3 linked regions of the Canis lupus familiaris genome follow. The protein of the gene in region 3 purifies or fractionates together with the protein of the main gene of each other region. This does not show direct contact. Links are inferred from orthologs where the notes say so. Each region holds a gene or a part of one and is shown on either strand. Other genes may lie near its edges.

Region 1 (3,650 bases), on a different chromosome or scaffold from region 3:
CCAGGTCAAGTCCCACATCGGGCTCCCTGCATGGAGCCTGCTTCTCCCTCTGCCTGTCTGTCTCTCATGAATAAACCAATAAAATCTTTTTTTAAAAAAATAAAAGGAATAAATTCCTAGAAGTGAACTTCCTGGAATAAAGGTTGTGTTTTTTTTGCAATGTGATACATAGCTACCCTGTGTGATGTTAACCACATAGAGGGAACAGCCTCTGCTGAGTGATGGACAGGCATCAAAGCAGCCTCCCACCCCCCTACCTCCCACAAAGGCAGCCCCCTTGTCACAGCAATATGTGCAGCAGGGGGATGGTGTCACGGCGGTGAACAGTGTGTCTGCAGGAGCTAGGTAGGGAGCTGCAGTAACATGAATGATGACAACCTCCCCCCCCCCCCCCCATGCTGCCACAAAACCATGCTACTGATTTTTGTTGTTTTCCCACAGATCTATGAACTGCGGGTGATGGAGACCAAGCCTGACAAGGCCGTATCCATCATTGAGTGTGACATGAACGTGAGTACCTTCGATGCTTACAGTGCACTTGGGTCACGGGAAGATGGGCAGTTGATGAACCCTGCAGGCCAGTGCCCCATGAGGGTGTCATGCAGCCCCGGGGACTGTTTGGGTGAGAGAGAAGGAAGTTGATGCCAGAACGCCTGCGAGGAGGTTGTTGACCTGGTGACACATCTCCAGCCAAGAGAGGTGGCTGCACTCACCAGCAGCATGGATATTCTGGAAAGTTAAGGAAGCTTATTCAGCTGTATAGGAAGAAACTACTGGTTGGTACATACAACAGCCTGGTGGGTCTCCAGGGAATGCTTCTGAGCAAGAGAGGCCAGTCCCAAAAGGTTATATTCTCTCTGGTTCCATTTGTATTACATCCTTGAAATCGGCGAGGCTTTAGAAATGGAAGACGGGTTGGTGGTTGCCAGGAGTTAGGAGAAGGCCAGGAGAGAGGCACGTGTGGTTATAACAGGACAACTCAGAGAGGTCCCTGGGAGGTTGGAACAGCCTAGTACTTCGACTGAGGGTGGACAATGACCAATACTCATGATAAAATTGGGAGAACTTAACTGGGAAATCTGAATAGGAGGGCCGGATGGTGCAGCTGCTGCTTATCTTGGTGGTGATACTCTGTGATTTTATAAAACGTTACCATTGGGAAAATTGGGCAGAGTATATAGGGGCAGCTTTCTGTTGCATCTTTTAACAACCACATATGACCCTGCCGTTGTCTCAATTAAAAACAAAAGCTAAGGAAGCCTAAGTGTCACCGTATCTCAAAATTATTCTTTTCATCTCGGGACCAAAGGTGGACTTCGATGCCCCACTGGGCTATAAGGAGCCTGAGAGACAAGTCCAGCATGAGGAGTCCGCTGTAAGTTCTGCCCAGCGACCCTCCCCAGCCCCAGCACTGTTTGCCCCCTTCAGTAACGGGGCCTCTGGGAGGGCGTCCTCGGTGGGTCCCAGCAGCCAACTTGAGTTTGGCTTCTGCTGGTGCTGACATGGTCACATGTCCTGCTCCTGGGGAATAGTGTGTCCCAGCTGTTGGGGGTGCAGGGATAGCAGTAGCAATGAGAGGCTCATCACCTGTTTTTGTGCTCCCATCAGGAGGGTGAAGCTGACCACAGCGGCTATGCTGGAGAGCTGGGCTTCCGTGTGAGTACCAGGCCACACGTTTTACTTTCTATGCTCCTGCCGTGCCATCTGGGGACCTCTGCAGAGATTGGACCTTTGGGTTTCTGTGCATGCACATATCTGGCACTCTCAGTTACACAGCCTTTTACATTCACTTTGTCCTGGAATCCTAAAGGCAGGCCCTGATTTTTCTTCTCCTTTTGAAAATTTCTAACCCACCAAGTAGGACACATGTATATGCTTCTCTTCAATTCACTAGATGTGACCCCATTTGCTTTATTGTCTGAGAACATGACCTCCCAGCACCGCGGCCAGCCAGACTCCCTGGGAAGCAGGTAGAGATGGCTAGTGCGCTGGCATCGGGGAGCTGGGAGGCAGCAGAGGAATCATGACTAGAAAGTGGAGCTGAGCTGTGGGGCAGTTGCAACAGAGGCCTTAGCCTGCCCCTGGACCCTGAGCTGGGTGGTCCTGCAGAGGCTGGAGCCAAAACTTTGAATCTGTCCTTTAACTACTGGCTGTCCTTGTAAGGTGGCTGTGCTTGGGCCAGGAGGTTCCTTTCATCTCACATCAGTCCCCTGAGAGGCCGGGTGGAAAGTTCTTGTCTGTCAGGAAGTGAAGGTTTCAGTCCTTAAGGGGTCTGGACTACACCTCCCAGCACACATCCTGGCTGCAGTGTCTGGGCACAGGGCACATGTATGCTCGCTAAGCTCTTGCGCACTCTCCTGCTCGCTCGTCTAGGCCTTCTCCGGCTCCGGGAATAGATTGGACGGGAAGAAGAAAGGTGTAGAGCCCAGCCCCTCCCCAATCAAGCCTGGAGACATTAAAAGGTAGGTCTGCTCTGGCTCTGCTTCCCCTGTGATGCTTTGTCCTCCTCCAGGAAGGCTCTCTGCCAGATTCCTGGGGTGGGACCACCTCACTCGAGCTCTGGAGACGAAGTCTGGACCAGGGAGGCTGGCGTGTGGAATGGATGGCACCCTGCCTGCTCTCCTGGGCCACCAGAGCAGGCATTTCCCGGTGCACGTTGGTGAGGGAAGGATACTGGTGCCCTGCCTCATCCGCCAGGCCTCTCCCACTGCAATCTAGCCTCACTCTGTCCCTCCTCCTCAGCCTCCGCCTGCCCCCAGGTGCTCCCTAATCAGCTTGCCCTCCTGTTTCACATCTTTCTGGTTCCTGTTTAGTAATCTCTTTTTCTATTTTGTGACTTCTGATAATTGATCAAGACCCCATTATGTAGACTTCCCTCAGACAGGAGGCAGGAGCTGCCTTAATGTGTTTTTACCATTTAGGGATCCCTGGGTGGCGCAGTGGCTTAGCGCCTGTCTTTGGCCCAGGGCGCGATCCTGGAGACACGGGATCAAATCCCACGTCGGGCTCCCGGTGCATGGAGCCTGCTTCTCCCTCTGCCTGTGTCTCTGCCGTTCTCTTTCTCTCTCTGTGTGTGACTATCATAAATTAAAAAAAAAAAAAAAAAAAAGTGTTTTTACCATTTGGCTTAGGGACTGTCAGAGGAGGTTTCTTGCTCTGATGACTGTCATGGACGTGGTAGGGATGAGATATGTCACCTGTCTGCTGTGTGTTAGAGCAGAGGGAGAACACTGCAAGTGTGGTTTTTACCCAGACTCTTAAGAGAGTGTAAGGAGTTTAGTGAGAAGGTGGCCCCTACAGGGTCTATGAGGCTACAGGACAGAGATGGTGAGGGCCCCTCAAGCCTCCAGATGGCCTCTCACTGCAGGCCAGGCACTAGGTCAACAGGCCTCTGCTCCAGTTGCCTTCTGGTTACTTCAGGAAGGTTCCTGGGGAGCGCCAGAGGGCTGGCTCGAGGCCAGAGTGGGTACAGCGGTAAACCCCAGAGTGAGTCACCAGGACCACACTTGTCTCTTTGCTTGCCTTTCTCTTGATTGGCAGGAGCAAATTTTAATGTCTTTATCCTGCAACTAACATTCTTCTTTCTTTCTCTCTTTCACAGAGGAATTCCCAACTATGAATTTAAACTTGGTAAGATAACTTTCATCAGA
Region 2 (3,650 bases), on a different chromosome or scaffold from region 3:
TCACCTATTAAAATTAAAGGTGAGAGGTTTTTTTTTCAATTGACTGTATTGCTTTAAAAAATCAAAATTCAAAAATCACAGATAAAAACAGTCCCGATCTTATTCCATCACATGTAAATCCTAAGTCAGTCAACATGAATTTTGCACCTAAGATTTAAAATACTGAATATCCACTGTGCACACAGTACCTTACAAACATCTTAATCTCCCTAACAATGCTCTAAGGAAGGTATTATTTATCTCTATCTTACAACGGAGAAAACTACTGAGGCTAGAAGACTCATTTAGTAAGGCTTGCCCAAGGTCATTAAAGCTAATCAGTGGCAAAACTGAGATTCTAACCCAACTCTGTTTGACCCCCACATTTATGCACCATCTACAAATGAAGAGAAACATCTTAACTCAGATTTTAATTTAAACTACATCCATGAGCAGAGTAAAATTTAAAAAAATTAAAACATCCAAATGACTCCAGAACCTCTGTAGCATTTTCAGAATGGACAGGACTACCTTAAGCCAGGCTTTAAACTTCATTGACCAGCAATGAGTATTTTTTAAATTAAAATATCCTAATGCCTTAAGGATATGTTTTTAGTTTAAGAGGGAAAGAAAAAACCCAAACAAAATCTCAGAAACCAGTATGCAAATTAAATTAGGATCATAACTCCTCTCTTTAAAAATCCTTGACTGTTAAATTGATATACTTTGGAACAGTGAACATATTAGTCAATTACAATTCACATTTACTTCAGAAAGGTCTACTATTAAATCAGAAAGATTACAACACTCTTAAGAACCTGGGGATGGGAGAGGAGTGATAGGAAAAAAAGGTTAAAAATAAACACTATAACCCTCTGCTCTAGACAAAATAGAGCATATTTCTGATTTCCACACTAATGTTGAAAACACAAGCACTGAGAATCTAATTTTCTCAATACTGATATTTAGCCACAAGACACTTATCTGGTAAATACTACTTCAGTTCATTCATTTACTTTTGTATTTAATAAACATCTTAGCATCTATTACCTGCCAGTTAAGGATGTCGAAAAACTTAAGTCAGAAAAACAAATACAGTCAACAGAAAAAAAGTAATTCATTTCAATTATGTTTTTAAAAATTGTTGATTTTACATGCATCAATGCACTCATAATACTCTTAATCACATATCTCAAACATGAAATGAACAAATTTTCCTAAAAGCTGCAGGTCAGTACTTTAAAGCCCATTTTAGTGAAAAAAAAAATAGATGTAGTAATTGTTCCTATCTTTAGACTAGTGGTACACAGAGTTACTACTTTTGTGTATACAGTATTTTTCACTTCCAAACCCTATCTTTGGAAAGATATGCAGAGATCATAAATATTTTTCTCCAAAACTGCTTCCACAAGGAGTTTCAAGAATATAGTATCCAACATTATAAATCTAACTATAAATCATCTTTGAGCATGAAAAGATCACCAATGCTACCTGCATTTCTAGGGACTAGAGAATGTGGCCTACTGAAGCATAAAAATAAAAATCCCAGCAGTGCCAAAGCTCACTATGCACCTGAAACAAATAAACCTCCTTAGAATACAAATTTCTCACCTGTATAATCCAGATCAATCATACCGACTGGCAATGTTACACTGAGTAACAGATTAAACTGAGCCAGACATCAAATACTGCACAGAAACACGCCGGTGTATGCTTCAGCACAAGAATACTAACCACCCCCGGAAAATGAACCCTCCACCCAAAAAAGGACCTCCCTCCACCTCATTGATTATGCATAAAACATTAGGCCACCTCTATACTGTTTAATATATTAACATAAATAGAGCACGTGACCGCTCAAGTGTCAAATCCTTAGTCAGTGATTATGGATTTTGGCCTTGGTTACCTTTAAAGTTCTTGATCACTAACTTCTTAGCAGACCCAGGCTTGCTGTTAGCAAAGCTAGAAGTGGTGGTAGAAGATTTGGCTAGGCCGTTTGCGTGATGCACCGAAGCCACAGAAGAGATTAATATACTCTTATTTTTAAGTTGCTGCTGCTGAGATGTTGCAGCAGTTGGTGAAGATGAGGAGGAAGAGGAGGAGGATTCCTCAGCCATCTTCGCATCAAACCCTACAAACTCCAGGGTGTCTTCAAAACGCAGCTTCTTCTGTATCGGTACGTGGCTGGAAGTAGCCACTGAAACCCCCAGGCAGAAGGACGAGGTTGAAGGGGATGCCGAATCCCTGGGTTGTAAAGGAGGAGTGGATGAGGAGGAAGAGGTGGAATCAAAGTCTTCTCTCTCGTTACTACTGTTACTGCTGCTACTGCTGCTGCTGTTTAACTTTCTCTTCTTGGCAGAGGTGGGCGGAGTGGTGCTGGTATTACCATCAGTGGCAGATCTGACCTCCTGAGCAGCAGCAGCAGCTGAGGGATTGGGGGAAGAAAAACCTGTTGGAAACATGAAAATAGCGGGGTCAACAGGCAGAGGAGCATCAAAAACCTACGTTTATATGCCTGCGTGCGTGTAGGAGAGAAGGTGGCAATGCTAGAGGGGGGAAGGGAAGAAAGAGAGGAGAAACACAGAGGACGAGAAGGAAAGTGAAGGGGGGGCTACACCGGGGGAATGGGAGGGTTTGGGAAGGCGGATAGGCTGACACCAGGAGTGAGCAGAACGAGGGGGGAGAGCGAATGAGGAGGCAGACAGGTAAACGGCCGTGCCGTCCCCCTCCCCTGCTTTTCGGTCTCTCTCCCCCCTTTCTGCAGGAGCGACTCAGTGAGTCTGTGAGGCTGCAGCTCCTCCTCCTTTTCTCCCTCTCTCTGGGAGGGGAGATGCCGTGGTTGGGGGGAGGGGGAAGGGGGAGGGGGAGAGAACCAGGGCTTGTTATTGTCAATAGCACAAGAGGCTAAAGATGGCGCCACTTCCGGTCACGCGGCGGCGAGGGAGGGGCGGCGTCTGTCCCCGGGAGTGGGGGGTGGAGAGAAGCACTGCAGGCGCCCGGGGGGCGGGGGAGCTGGCTGGGAGGGAGGCGGCGGGAAAGCGGCGGCTAAGGCGCCCCAGACGGTCGTGCTCCTTCTCTCGCTCTCGCTGCCCCCCCTCCCGCTCCCTCTCCCTGGCAGCACTCTTCTTCCCTGGCCCGCCAGTAACTGCCACCCCCTCCTTAACGGTCCCGCGGGGAGCTTCGCGCTGCAGCGCCCTTACCGGAAGTGACTGGGCAGACACTTTTCATAGCGCCCAGGTCCCGAAGCCCCCAGGTCCGCAGGACTTGAGTGGGGGGGGATGGGGGAGGGAGAAAGGGGGGGAAGAGAAGTGGAAAGGGAGGAGGGGGCGGGCTTTTGAGACACCTCCCGAGTTGCTGATTGGAGCTTTCTGAACGCGAGGCGGGCGGGGTGGGGGGAAGGTGGCGGGAGAAGCAGCGGGAAGGAGCCTGAAGGGGAGGGAAGGTGGTGACGGTGAGGGGCGGGGTGAGCTAGCTGGGAAAAAGGAGGAGGAGGAAGAGAAGAAGGGAGGGAATAAAAAGTTAGGGAGCGGAGAATGGAAACTTTGAAAGAGATAAAGGAATAAGGAGGGGTTGCAAGGCAAGGGGAGTAACCCGAAATGGAGGAAAACATAATCATAGCATTATGCCTGCTGCCAAGCAGGAATGTCATGATGTTAAAATAGGAAAGGAAA
Region 3 (3,650 bases):
CATCTGGCTCCCTAGTCAGTGGGGGGAGTCTGCTTCTCTCTCTGCCCCACTCTCCCCTTTGTGTACCTCTTTCTCTCTTGTACTCAAATAACTAAATCTTAAAAAAAAGAAAGAAAACTAAGAACTTAGAAGATAGCTTTAACCTAAATAAATCCATTAAAAAAATCAATCAATCGGCTCCCTGAATGGAGCCTGCTTCTCCCTCTGCCTGTGTCTCTGCATCTCTCTCTGTGTCTCTCATGAATAAAAAAATAAAATTAAAAAAAAATCAATCAATCAATCCATTATTGCTATATCTGATTTTATACTTAGAGTCTGTGTGTGTGTGTGTGTGTGTGTGTGTGTATAACTCAGAAAACAAATCAATTAGGGGGTTGGATTAAGTAGTAGTCCCTATACAGAAAAACTTGATTGAGTGTATCTGTTCCAAGATTGTTAGCTACCTAACAAAATGAAAGAATGGATCAGAAAAAAGTGAATGGCAAAGAATGAAAAATTATAGTTTAGGAATTAGGAGTCATTATCAAAAGTCAAATTATAATGTAATTCAGTAGGAAAAGACATTCATTTAGAAAACTTTTTAATTAATTTTTTTTAAGTAGGCTCCACACTTAATATAGGGCTTGAACTCACAACCCTAAGATCAAGCATTGACTGCATCCTCTACTGACTGAGCCAGCTAGGCGCCCTATATCAAAACTATTTTTTTTAAGTTGGATTTTTTTAAGATTTTATTTATTTATTAATAAGCGACACAGAGAGAGAGAAGCAGAGACATAGGCAGAGAGAGAGGCAGTTCCCAACGTGGGACTCAATCCTGGGTCTCCAGGATCACACCCTAGGCTGAAGGCAGGCACTCAACCACTGAGCCACCCAGAAGTCCCTCAAAATTATTTTTAAACACAATTAAGAAAACATGTTTTAAACAGTGAGAACAGTTATGCTCCCCCAAATCAGCTGTGAATATCTGTTATTCAAGTTTCTATAAACTAAATCATGTTTTCATATTGATTTCCATGAAAAATTTGAGCTATGTTGGGGGGGAATGGGACACCAACATCTGAAATATACAGGCAACACTGACAAGAAAAAACTTTATGAAGTATTAATAATAATCTCTAAAGTTCATTCTTCATTTGGAAACAATTAGTACTCTAAAATCTGGAACTAGATCAACAAAAGAGGCAACTATGTCTTGAAGGTTCTTTGGCTTTTTAAATCTATCTCTAATTTTAATACCTATGTCTTTTAGTGTATTCCCTAAAATTCCTCTTGTTTAGTATCTCATGTTATAAACCCTGAGAGTTATAAAGGGCTGTAAGCATTAAAGTCTTATTTAAAGATCTCTTTAATTTTGTTTCAAAAATCAATGGTTTTCCTTCCAGTAGCATTTATCTCTAATATTTTCCAAAGACTTGGAATTTTGTCCCTAAGGTATTGATTTCAAATTCTCATTGGTATCCAATGTAAAGGGCAAAAACACCCAAATCTGTTCACCATTTATTATCATTCTCTACAGAGTACAGTTCCATATACTAAAGATGTTTCTAATGATTAACTACATGTATGTAACTATCATTAAGGTATAAAGGACTAGAATTATTTTTCAAAAATTTTTGTGGCAACTGAAAACTCTCCTGGGACAACGTAAGAAAATCCAGAATTAAGAAAGGGAAAGGAAAGGGAAAGGAAAGGGAAAGGAAAGGAAATCCAGAATTGAGAAATCTGAACTTTATTGGGCTTTGTTGCTACTTCTGCTATGTAACTGCTATCTAGTTTGGGAAAATGGCTATGCCTCTGCTTCCTTATTTATAAAATGTAGATATAAGGCCATCCCATAGGGTTCTTCTGAACATTAAATAATAGACATGACAATGCTCTACAGAACTTACAGTATATAAGCATTAAAATGTCCATGTGACACTTTCTCAGATGGTTTCAACTCCTAATTTTTTCAAAATCAGAGAATTAACCTAACTGATAAAAATGCAACTGCTCAATATAAGCAAGGGGTACCTCCTAACAATAAATAATAAACTCATACTCTGTGTGTGGTCTGACTGTGGAAACACTTGCTGAACTGGTACTGGGCTCTTCAGCAATTCCTCCACCATCCAAAAACATAGTAACTGCCATCTCCAGATTATTGTTGCAGGCTTCAAGCATATGTTTCCCTACGCTTTCGCTTGCACCTGAAATAGCAAAAAAGACAGGGAAAAAGTTAAAAAAAAAAAAAAAAAAGACATCTTATATTCAGTTCATATTAAAAAATAGAATTCCCAAGCAAATGAATAATATCTTTTTTCCTTTTAGGATGAATGGCTTCTTTTTAAAAACCTGTTTGCATACTTTTACAATGTTAGCTGATTAATAAATATACAAAGCTAGAAAAGAAACTGACAACATTAAAATAGTGCTCGTCCTTCATAATAAAACCAAACTAAATAAAGCATGTCTTTAAATGGACCAACCATATATCTGTTAATAAACTGAAAAAAAAAAGATTAAAGATTACATTCTAGAAAGTTAGAAATATTTTGTTAGAAAGAATGCATTTCAGTTAGCATTTGTTTCCATTAAAAAGAAAGCATTTTTTAATAATAAAGGGAGAAAAGTGAGATAGGACATTTTTGTCAAAAACATAACCAAGTCAAAATCTGGTAGGAAATGTCAGTCTTCAGGGGTGCCTTCAGGGGTGGCTCAGCTGGTTAAGCATCTGCCTTCAGCTCAGGTCATGATACCAAGTCCTGGGATGGAGCCCCACATCATGCTCACTGCTCAGCAGGGAGTCAGTCCCTCTCCCTCTGCCACTCCCCCCACTTGTGCATGTTCTAATAAATAAATAAAACCTTAAGAAAACATATCAGTCTTCAGGACACTTGGGTGGCTCAGTCAGTTAAGTGTCCAAACTCTTGATTTCAGCTCAGGTCATGATCTCAGGGTCATGGGATTGAGCCCTACACTGGGCTCAGTGCTGGGTGTGGAGCCTGTTTAAGATTATCTCTCTCCCTCTCCCCCCACCTAACCCCACTCTCTTGAGTTCTCCTTCTCTCTCTCAAAAAAAAAGGGGGGGTGGGGAGATGTCAATCTTCATCATTTAAAACTGACGCTACATATATTTATTCATTTGTAAAGCCAGTATTGTCTGTTAGATGCAATGTAGATTGGTAAAGCCCTTTACAAAACCAATTTTACGACATGTATCAAAAAGTACTCCTTTCGGGCGGCCCCAGTGGTGTAGCGGTTTAGCACCGCCTGCAGCCCAGGGTGTGATCCTGGAGACCCGAGATCAAGTTCCTAATTAGGCTCCTTGCATGGAGCCTGCTTCTCCCTCTGCCTGTGTCTCTGCCTCTCCCTCTCTCTCTCTCTCGAATAAATAAGTAAAATCTTAAAAAAAAAAAAAAAAAAAAAAAAGTACTCCTTTTTTTTGACCCAGTAATTTGCGCTTATGGTCAAATGGTCAAAAAACTTTTTTTTTTTTTTTTTTTGAGAGTGAGTGAGTGTAGTCTGTGTGTGTGTGCAGCAGCAGGGTAAGGGGCAGAGGGCGAGAATATTCAAGCAGACTTCATGCTGAACACAGAGCCCAATATGAGGCTCAATCTCATGGGATCATGACCTGAGCCAAAACCAAGAGTTGGACACTTAATCAA

Evidence for each region. Proteins that work in one complex are often made in the same cells at the same time.
Region 1: the proteins of UBXN7 (region 3) and UFD1 purify together in Homo sapiens (affinity purification with mass spectrometry; 3 studies listed by BioGRID and IntAct, with this or other methods). This does not show direct contact. The link is inferred for Canis lupus familiaris from reciprocal best matches to the Homo sapiens genes UBXN7 and UFD1.
Region 2: the proteins of UBXN7 (region 3) and CUL4B purify together in Homo sapiens (affinity purification with mass spectrometry; 3 studies listed by BioGRID and IntAct, with this or other methods). This does not show direct contact. The link is inferred for Canis lupus familiaris from reciprocal best matches to the Homo sapiens genes UBXN7 and CUL4B.

The regions. Positions count from the first base shown.
Region 1 is NC_049247.1:29,917,100-29,920,749, forward strand, and holds part of UFD1 (ubiquitin recognition factor in ER-associated degradation protein 1), read left to right. Parts: intron 1-441; coding exon 442-510; intron 511-1,309; coding exon 1,310-1,375; intron 1,376-1,608; coding exon 1,609-1,656; intron 1,657-2,373; coding exon 2,374-2,462; intron 2,463-3,601; coding exon 3,602-3,650. UniProt on the Homo sapiens protein: Essential component of the ubiquitin-dependent proteolytic pathway which degrades ubiquitin fusion proteins.
Region 2 is NC_049260.1:93,256,978-93,260,627, forward strand, and holds part of CUL4B (cullin-4B), read right to left. Parts: intron 3,318-3,650; exon of another isoform or gene 3,208-3,317; coding exon of another isoform or gene 3,180-3,207; intron 2,429-3,179; coding exon 1,886-2,428; intron 1,717-1,885; exon of another isoform or gene 1,613-1,716; coding exon of another isoform or gene 1,591-1,612; intron 1-1,590.
Region 3 is NC_049254.1:30,189,333-30,192,982, forward strand, and holds part of UBXN7 (UBX domain-containing protein 7), read right to left. Parts: intron 2,193-3,650; coding exon 2,045-2,192; intron 1-2,044. UniProt on the Homo sapiens protein: Ubiquitin-binding adapter that links a subset of NEDD8-associated cullin ring ligases (CRLs) to the segregase VCP/p97, to regulate turnover of their ubiquitination substrates.